Sus scrofa: one gene and its partner. The protein of the gene in region 2 binds, or shares a complex with, the protein of the main gene of each other region. Links are inferred from orthologs where the notes say so. Each region holds a gene or a part of one and is shown on either strand. Other genes may lie near its edges.

Region 1 (4,483 bases), on a different chromosome or scaffold from region 2:
AGACAAGAGCAGAGAAGAGCATTAGCAACCGGCACTACTGTGAATGCTTAGGACAAAGACAAGTGCTCTGAAATGGCTTAAGCTTACATTTTTACCAAGTCACCTTCCTTGAGAATATAGTCCTGGTCGCTCTTCAAAGGGGAGAAGTGACATACACAGTTATTTACTGAAATGCTGGTGGGAAAGGCAATACCTGTAAAGAGACAATCAGCCTTATTGCCTTGCGTGCTCTCTTAGAGGCCTGCTGCCCCTCAGAAAGATGAAAGAATTTTCATCAGGGTCTTGCCTAAGTTTAATCAGTTTGGATTAGATGGGAAACTGCTTGAATCCCCCTTATCATTCCAAATATCTCAACCAGTGCTGGAGCTGGGGGTGCATCATTATAATAAAACAAACAGGACTGAATAAGGGTCAAATGCAGGAAATTAGTGGGGGATTATTTTTACCTTTCTTCATTTCTTTTTCTTTCTTGAAAATTTTCCCTGTCTCTTCCATTATCATGGCATCCCCTTTCTCGCACAGGCTCAGTACCGACACACCTGAACAGGAAGCTTCCACCAAAGACCGAAGTACCCCTGGGAACAGAATCCCATTGGATCAGTCCTGCAAGTGTTGTCTAAGTTACCATCTAAGCAATACCTCAAAGCTAAACATTTCCTGGTGCCATTGCTTTAAGGATGAAAGAGAGAACAAGTTGTGCCTCTTGGGAGTTCCCATGGTGGCGCAGTGGTTAACGAATCCGACTAGGAACCATGAGGTTGCGGGTTCGATCCCTGCCCTTGCTCAGTGGGCTAAGGATCTGGCGTTGCCGTGAGCTGCGGTGTAGGTTGCAGACGCAGCTCGGATCCCACATTGCTGTAGCCCTGGTGTAGGCCGGTCGGTGGCTACAGCTCTGATTCGACCCCTAGCCTGGGAATCTCCATATGCCGAGGGAGTGGCCCTGGAAAAGGCAAAAAGACAAAAAAAAAAAAAAAAAAAAAAAAAAGTTGTGCCTCTTGGAATGTACTTACCTATCCATCTCTAAATTGCTACCTTCCTTTCCTAAAAAGAGCCAACACTTCCTTATACATTGTGACAACTGGTGACACTGTATGCACTGTCTGTCTCCCTAGGCAAGGCAGACTTTCCCAAGATGATAGCTGAGGTGTGCAGGACAGAGTCATGAACTTCAAGGAGGTTCTCAGCAAGGTATCCAACACACTGGCAAAGCAGACTGGGGGAAATTTATAGGCGTCAGGGACAACAGGAGGGCAGACATAGAATTGCTGACCCGAAGCTGATGCATTGTTAAATGCTACCTTCTTCCCTTCCCAGACACCCCAATTAAGTGTTAGTAATCTCAATATGTAGACTTATTTCTTTATATAACAAGTCAAGGAGACTTAACCTAAGGTCTCTGGGCTTCAGCAAGCTTGGGCTTATAGCTTTTAGCAGATCTCAATGAGGTATGTGACCCAAAAGAGTTTCCAACTGGTATCTGGAATCCCAAGTGCCTCAGAAGTTATAAACTGCAAGAGGAAAAAAAAGTTTTTCTGTTTTCAAACCACTAAATGTCCATTATGTTATAAAGCATTGTTCTGTTCACTGGATATCCTCTCCAAGGCCCAAAGTGAACTATAGGTTTGATTTTTGTGATCCAAGTTTTGGGGATTTTTTGGAAGTTTGAAAAACTCAGGTTTTTAGCCATAGGATCAAAGGCATCCTAAATACCTATCTTTACTGTCAAAACCATTTAAAAGCCCAAAGACAAGCATCTTCTGTCCCCTAACTGGGTTTTAAATCGCAAAGAGAGAAAAGAGAAAGTGAGACATCTGCCTAGAGTGGCAGGCAGCTGCTGAGAAGTCTGAGCGAGCCCCCATAAGGATAACTTCCGAGATCCTATAAAGTCAGTCTCCCCTTTACCAGTGCTCTACACAGGTTTGCCTGGTTGGGGTGAAAAGAACCTCAAAACACTCCTAGAGCTGTCAAACCCCTGAGAGCAATCAAATTTGACAACTAACTAAAGCTATCTGCGCAGATTGGAGATGATAACTTCAAGAACAACCAGATACGTCTCCAAGAGTTATGTTAGGGGTTCTCCAGGGGTACCCTCCAACGGTCCCTGAGCTGGCCCAAGAGTAGAAGGCGGCCCCCTCCAGGGAGGGAGCTGAAGTAAAGAACGAAAGACTACAGCAAAGCACGTGGTAGGGAAGCTAGTGTCAGGGACTGTAGCGGAGGAAGGGAGCCGGCGATCCGCTGGGGACCCGGCAACACGTGCCGGCTAGGCTCCTGACGGCGGGGAGCAGCGACAAAATAGAGGAGCGTTTCGTTTCCGAGGTGGCCTCCCTGCTGCCAAAATCAGAGGCAGAGATCCAGACAGAAGGATGAAGAGCAGGACATACGCCCTGCCTCCTTACCAAGGGCCTAGGGTCGGAGCCAGCCGGGGCCCCGCTCTGCGCTCTTCCCTGCCACCCGCCTGCATCTTCACAGACTCCAGCCCAGGCCTAGCCGCTCAGGTCCCAAACGCGATAACGAGCCTTCCCACCACGCCAAACCCAGCAGACCCGCGGGGGGCCCTCACTAGCCCACTCTGCATGACCCCACCGCTCCAGCCCCTCACCGGCTCGTCAAGCACCGTCCCCCTTGCCTCTCCCTCCCAGCCTCGATCTCCGGACCCCCGAGGCCGCACTCACGGTTGGCGATGTCGCCCCCCATCTTATACTTGGTCACGACCAGGTCCTCGGCGATAGTCTGCTCCTGTTGCTCGTCCTCGCCCGACATCTTCCCACCACCACCACCGCAGCCTCGTTTCTCCTGAGCCGCTGCCTCTGTCGCCCTTCCCAACCACAGGCTGTGGCCAGAGCCCCTTCGATCCGCGAGGAGAGCGCGAGCAAAAGCGCGAGCAAGCTAGGGAGCGGGCGGGCGAGAGCGAGAAACTGCGAGCGCGCGGGCTGATGCGCAGGGCATGCTGGGACAACGAGTCCCTCCCGCCGCCAGCCTCTAGCTGCCCTCGCGGACTCGCGAACTACAATTCCCAGCCTGCCTTTCGCGCCCCTAAGCCAGGCCCTGGGGCCTTGCCCTCCGAGGGCCTCGCACGCCGGAATCGCCAAGCACGCTGGGAAGGGTCAGGCTCCGGCGGGAAGGCGGAGCCGTTGGAGAGCATGAGGGGAAGCGTGGTCTCTCCCGGAAAAACCATATCCACCAGGAGCGCTGAGCGAGAACCCGTAATAGAGGGAGGCGGGCTAAGGGAGAAGGGGGCGGAGCTACGGCGGGGACGTGGGTTTGGAGGCTGCGGGGCAGGGTGGAGCAGAGACGAGTGGGGGTGATTGTATCAAGGGCGGGGAGGCTGGGTACGCCCTTCCTCGGATCCCTGGAGCGGCAGGCGGACCGGCCTGGCCAGTCCGATCGTCCTCAGGTGCTGGGAGGGGCAGAGCGAGTGTGGAAGGAGACCCGGAGTGCGTGGAGCAGGGACTAACTGGGCACCAGATTTCTGTGGGATTATCCATGTACAGCCTTCCAAGTCTAGAGGCCGGCTCCCTCTGAAGATGGCACTATTGTTCCAACAACAGGCTTTGATGGCACCTAAGACGGACACTTTTTTTTAAAGTTGTGAAACGTTTGAGAGTTTCAGTATTCTACCTCTTGGGGCCTTTTCTAACTGCCCCAAACGTGTTTTGTTTGGTTGTTTTGTTACTCCCAGTTAGTCGGTTGCCCTATACAGATTCCTAGTAAAACGCTTAAATGAAAAGGACTGTACCCTTTGCTTGTCTAAAGAGACTATAAGGAAAGTGGGGCTGGAGAAAGCTACAGGGGGCCAAGTAGGACTGTGGGGAGACAGAGAAGGAAGCATGCCATGGTAGCCATTCTCTGCTGTGGAACGGAGAAAAGGGCTGATCTGTCCACTCACTAAAGTTTGTCGTTAGACAAGAAGCTGCAAAACCTTGGCATCTTTATTCAGACATGTATAAAAACAAAACAAAAACTTGAGGGATAAAAACAGATACTCCCAGTTTCCCATTCAAAGGAACTGAGGTCTGAAGCCGGGTCCTCTTTTTCATCTCCACTGGAAGCTTCCCACTACTGAATGAGAACTGCTCCTAAAAAATGGCTCTGGGGACCGTCTGAGTCTGTCCCTTAGGCAGATATCATATGTAGCACACGAAGATTACGGTTTACACAGAGATGTCCAGTTATTTTTCCTTCTGTCCACCCCCTTACTCCCACTTGCTGAGATGAGCAGTCCAGGTGTAGGAGGAGGCTGTGGATATTGGGGTTAGACTTGATTCAGTGCAAACACAAGAAGACAATACCTCTTACTAGTGCTCTGACTTTCATCAGTTTTCTTTGACACCTTACACTAAGAGCATGGTGCATTGGAAAATTTTGAATCCTGGACCTGCTACTTGATTTACTTAATCTCCTTAAGGCTCAGTTTCCTTATTTGTAAAATGGGATAATGCCTAGCTCACAGAATTGGTGTCAAGGATTAAGTGAGATGGGTAAG
Region 2 (4,472 bases):
ACTTTTCATCCTTTTCCACATCATGACACACATCCACAATCTGAAGAATGTTGTGATTTGCACTCAGTTCTAGTGCACCAATGTTTATATGAATATAGTCTTTCAGGAAATCTTCAGCGAGCTGTCTTACTTCTTTTGGCCAAGTAGCACTCCACATGAGGGTTTGCCTATCAGGCTAAAGATTTTTGGAATAAAGAAAAAGCCTTGTATTCTAAGAATAAATTTAGAGCAAAGTTTGAAAAGATAGACACATTTAAAGAGTACTTACTCTTATCTGATCCACAATTTTCCTTATTTGGGGTTCGAATCCCATATCCAGCATTCTATCTGCTTCATCAAGGACAAGGTAGGTGGTCCGTCTTAGATTGGTTTTCCCACATTCTAAAAAGTCAATCAGTCTTCCAGGTGTCGCGATACAGATTTCCACACCTTTAAACACAAAAATGTAACCAAGACATCTAGAATTTTAGCACCACCAGTGACAAATCAAACACTTTCTGTTTTGTACCTCTCTCCAAATCACGTATCTGTGGTCCCTTAGGAGCACCACCGTAGATGCAGGTGGACTTCAAGCGACACGCTCTACAGTATTCAGCAGCTACTTGCTGTACCTGTTGGGCCAGTTCTCGAGTTGGTGCCAGCACCAAGCACTAAGAAAAGAGAAAGTGGAATGAATACCTTTCAGCAGAGTTCCGGAGTCTACTTTTGAAGTGATGATATATCAGTGTTACAGCAGCACATGACTTATTTTGCTGTCCAATACCTAGAGCAGATTTGTTTCCAGATAAATGGTACAAAACAGCTAACGTCTCCACTTAAAATCACCACAAATTGTCATTTGCTTTCTACTGGACAAATCTCTGTACTTTTAAACAAAGCTTAAGGTATACTTACAATAGGTCCATCACCTCTCTCTAGGAATGGCTGATGATTGATGTGGACAATAGCAGGGAGCAAATACTGTTCAGAGAAGGGGCAAACAGAAGTTACACATTAAAATATTTCTGGTTTCTTTTAACTTCCAACCCATTTCCTCAATCACTCGACACAGAATTACAAGTTGCCCAACTTACAGATAATGTTTTCCCAGATCCAGTTTGTGCTACCCCAACCATATCCAATCCACTTAGAGCAACAGGCCATCCCTGAGCTTGAATAGCAGTGGGTTCAGTAAAGTTCTGCCTCGCAATCACATCCATTACGTTTGCTGTAATCATAAACAAGTAAGTTAAAATTAGAAATGCCGAGAGAAAGAATTTTTTTTTAAGGTAGGGAAAACTAGCACTTACCAGGAAAGTTTGCTTCATAAAAATTCAGAACTGGCTTTGGGCAGTTGTGACCTCTAACTGTAATTTCCTTGCTTCTTCTGTATGTCTCTACCTCTTGCTACAAAACAAATTACAAAAATCCAGTTGTCTTCTCATGACAACTCCCCTTAACTGAAAATGCAACCAATAAGCTCCTAAATTCATAATTGACTTAACTACTTTAAGATGGCCTTTTAAAATTTGGATCCATATAAAAACCCTAAACAAACAAAAACCACTTATTACGTTACACCCAACCATTTTAAGTAGAAAAAGTCACTTGTCTCCAAAAGTGAGTAGTAACTCCTCTTCCCCAAAGTAAGTAAGATCCTTACTTACTCAGCATGAGTTCCCCAAAACTTAGTTATGTGCAGGGAACTTCTAGTCAGATTTTGATTCACTGCAAAGTTATTAATTATTGAATTACAGCCTGAAGAAACCACATGAAATTACTTACTGCTGTTCGCCTAGCCAAATCAGGGTGTTCTTGATAAAAATTCTTCTCAAATTTGGGCAGCTCATCAAGATTCCACTTCTTTTTAACCAGTTTCTCCCCAGGGTTTCCAAACTTCTTTCCAGATAAGGGCCCTGCCCTACTTCCTCCAAATCGAGGCGCACCAAACCTGAAATTAAAAAGTCACATCTTCGAACACGTACAGACATATTAACCACCCCTTGGCACATGCTAAATATCAAAGACTTCCAGGTGGAACAGACGGTCATTCTCTCAAAAGCCACAATTAGCACCGCATCCTTTTCATTTCCCGTTGTACCAAGTACACGCCATTGAACCCAAATCATCAGCCCGGGATTTCACAGGTCGGAAAGTGGCTGCCCGAATGCCAGAAGTTCAGATTACAAGGAGCGTCAATAGTTGGGGCTACTAATCTCTCCCATGAACTTAAAAACTAAATATCTGAGAGAAAGACAAGAAAGGATAAGCCTAACAGCGATGTTATCTACCAGCTGTTCTCAAGCAAAGGAGCTTTGATTTTAATAGATAACGGAACAGCACACAGAGCAGAAAAAGGTGGGTTATCTCGCGGACACTTACGCAAGCCGAATGACTTGGAGAGATGCCCCAGAAAGGACCGCGATCAAGGTAGCAAAATTATATAAACGTAAGGAAAAAGAAAAGGAGGCGTTGGAGACTACCGGGGGAGGAGTCCCTGCCGGGCGGAGTCGGCCGGGCGGCGTTCCCGCTGGGGCGGCGCTTCCCCCTTTGTCTCGCATTTCTCTCTGCGCCACATTTTCTCGACGCTGCCATTTTGAGCTCCTCCGCCGGGCGGGGTAACAAAGGCGCCGCCGCCATGTCCGATGCCGGCATTTTGTACCCGCGGCTCAGCCACATGGCCGATTCCCGCGGTGCCGGTCACCGTCCTGCCCCCGCCGCAATAACGGCATCGGAGACGGCCCCCTCGCCACCCACAAAATTCCTGGGGCCCCCAAAACACCTTCCGAAAGGTTGCACCTAACAGCAGCGATTTCGTCCGCCTCGAAGCGCTGCGCTCCCCTCCCTTCGAAATACGCTCCTTGGAATTCTCCCAAGAGCTGATAAATCATCGAGGCCGCGATGCCCCATCCCAGACAAAAGAAGAGATCTCGAGAACCATTAACATGAAACTCCCAGGCAGTTTCAAAAATATCAAAATGGCGCAAGCCTTTGAGGGACGAGGCCCAAACATAGGCTGAGGAAGCCGAATTCCCGTCGCCACCCCGCCCCCCCGCATCGGCATCCCATCCCCCACCCACAGGGCCTGACAGGTCAGTTCCCACACTCACCCTCGATCCCGGCCGCGGTCTCGGTCACTTGAATAACTCGACATGGCGTCAATGGTTGCGGTTGGCGGGAAACAAAGCACAGAGAATCGGGTGCGACAAGTCGCTGGAGGTGGCTTCGACGACGGCGAAGCCTTGCGGGGGCGGCAGCGGCGGAGGGACGGCGATGACAGGAGCCCAAGCTGCCCGACAAGAGACCGGTGGAAATGAATGAGGTGCCGGCCGCGTCCCGGCAGCCGGTTTTATAGCCTGGACCGCCTCCTCCGCCGCAGAGAACGCTGGGAGCTGCTCTATGACCTAATCACCCCGCCCCTGCGCCGAGGCCGCACCGCCCGCGGGCGTTCCGAAATCCGCCATGTTCTCGCCCCTCCTTCTCCTCCCCCCACCCAAACCATCCCTCCCGTTTTTCACTCCTTTCAAGGGTGGGTCCATCCACCCACTACTGGGAAGCCTCAGTTTTTACTCTCTTGACTTCACCTTTTCCTTGTCTTCCACACTTCAAGGAAGTCGCCCCGCCCTTTTTCAGGTCCAGCACGAACAATGAAATGGCCCACCCAGACCAAGCCACTTGGTTCTCTTGGAAATGTTTACGTCTCCAAAGGGCCCTCACGCCCACAACCCGGCGAGACGGGTAGGCGGAGCCTGACATTGTCACGTGACTCCCCCCCCGCCCACCGGGTGAGCGGGCCGCACTACTTTTCCAGATGGCGTCGGCGGAGGAGTACAAAACGAAATCGCTCGCCGGAAGTGCAGTGCTATTGCCCGGGGAGACCGGCCAGGTCGGCTGGTTGACCCGCGGGGCTGTTAAACCCACCCACCTGAGAACTCCTTAGCGGGATCTGGTCGGCGGAGAATGGTATTTAGAGCTCGCAAACCGCCGCCCCAGCGCGTGCTGCGAAAGGAAGTGGTCCTGTGGTGACCAATCAGCAACGAGAAGCGGTTTTAACGTCCCTCCCTTTTTAATCCCTCCTTCCCGGCACTTTCGTTTGCTTCCCCCTCCTGTCAGCACTGGGTCTGCGGCGTGCGGCCCTCCCTGAGCTCCGTCCCGCGCGCACCGGGCCAAGAGTCCGACAGCGGCCTGCCTTCTCGACATGGCCGGCTCAGAGGCTGGTGAGTCTCGGCCTGTCGCTCCGGTGTGTGTGGACGAAGTCGTCCTCTCTAAATCCCCTAACGTCCCTGCCACTTTTACCTTGAGGCCTCGGGCGGGTTTGGGCGGCCGGCGGGGCTGGTGACACCCCGTGATAGTTGGCGGGCTCTCTGGGTAGGGTCTCATCCCCGCTCCCTGGCTCTTTCCGGGTTGTGGGGTGCGGTTTTGGGGGTGGGTTAGAAGGGCCCTTGCGGTGAGGCCCGTAGCGCACGCAACCTGGCTGCGAAAAGGGCAGTCGC

What was found.
Region 1: DDX5 (region 2) and PA2G4 share a complex: the UniProt entries of both Homo sapiens proteins name them as parts of the ribonucleoprotein complex. The link is inferred for Sus scrofa from reciprocal best matches to the Homo sapiens genes DDX5 and PA2G4.

What each region holds. Positions count from the first base shown.
Region 1 is NC_010447.5:21,494,469-21,498,951, reverse strand, and holds the start of PA2G4 (proliferation-associated protein 2G4), read right to left. Parts: upstream 2,956-4,483; 5' UTR 2,761-2,955; coding exon 2,673-2,760; intron 1,509-2,672; exon of another isoform or gene 1,388-1,508; intron 576-1,387; coding exon 447-575; intron 194-446; coding exon 88-193; intron 1-87. UniProt on the Homo sapiens protein: May play a role in a ERBB3-regulated signal transduction pathway. Seems be involved in growth regulation. Acts a corepressor of the androgen receptor (AR) and is regulated by the ERBB3 ligand neuregulin-1/heregulin (HRG).
Region 2 is NC_010454.4:14,571,218-14,575,689, reverse strand, and holds the start of DDX5 (probable ATP-dependent RNA helicase DDX5), read right to left. Parts: upstream 2,960-4,472; 5' UTR 2,541-2,959; coding exon 2,362-2,540; intron 1,931-2,361; coding exon 1,765-1,930; intron 1,387-1,764; coding exon 1,290-1,386; intron 1,208-1,289; coding exon 1,074-1,207; intron 961-1,073; coding exon 895-960; intron 651-894; coding exon 509-650; intron 430-508; coding exon 269-429; intron 176-268; coding exon 3-175; intron 1-2. Other genes in the region: CEP95 (centrosomal protein of 95 kDa), read left to right, coding at 4,178-4,196. UniProt on the Homo sapiens protein: Involved in the alternative regulation of pre-mRNA splicing; its RNA helicase activity is necessary for increasing tau exon 10 inclusion and occurs in a RBM4-dependent manner. Binds to the tau pre-mRNA in the stem-loop region downstream of exon 10.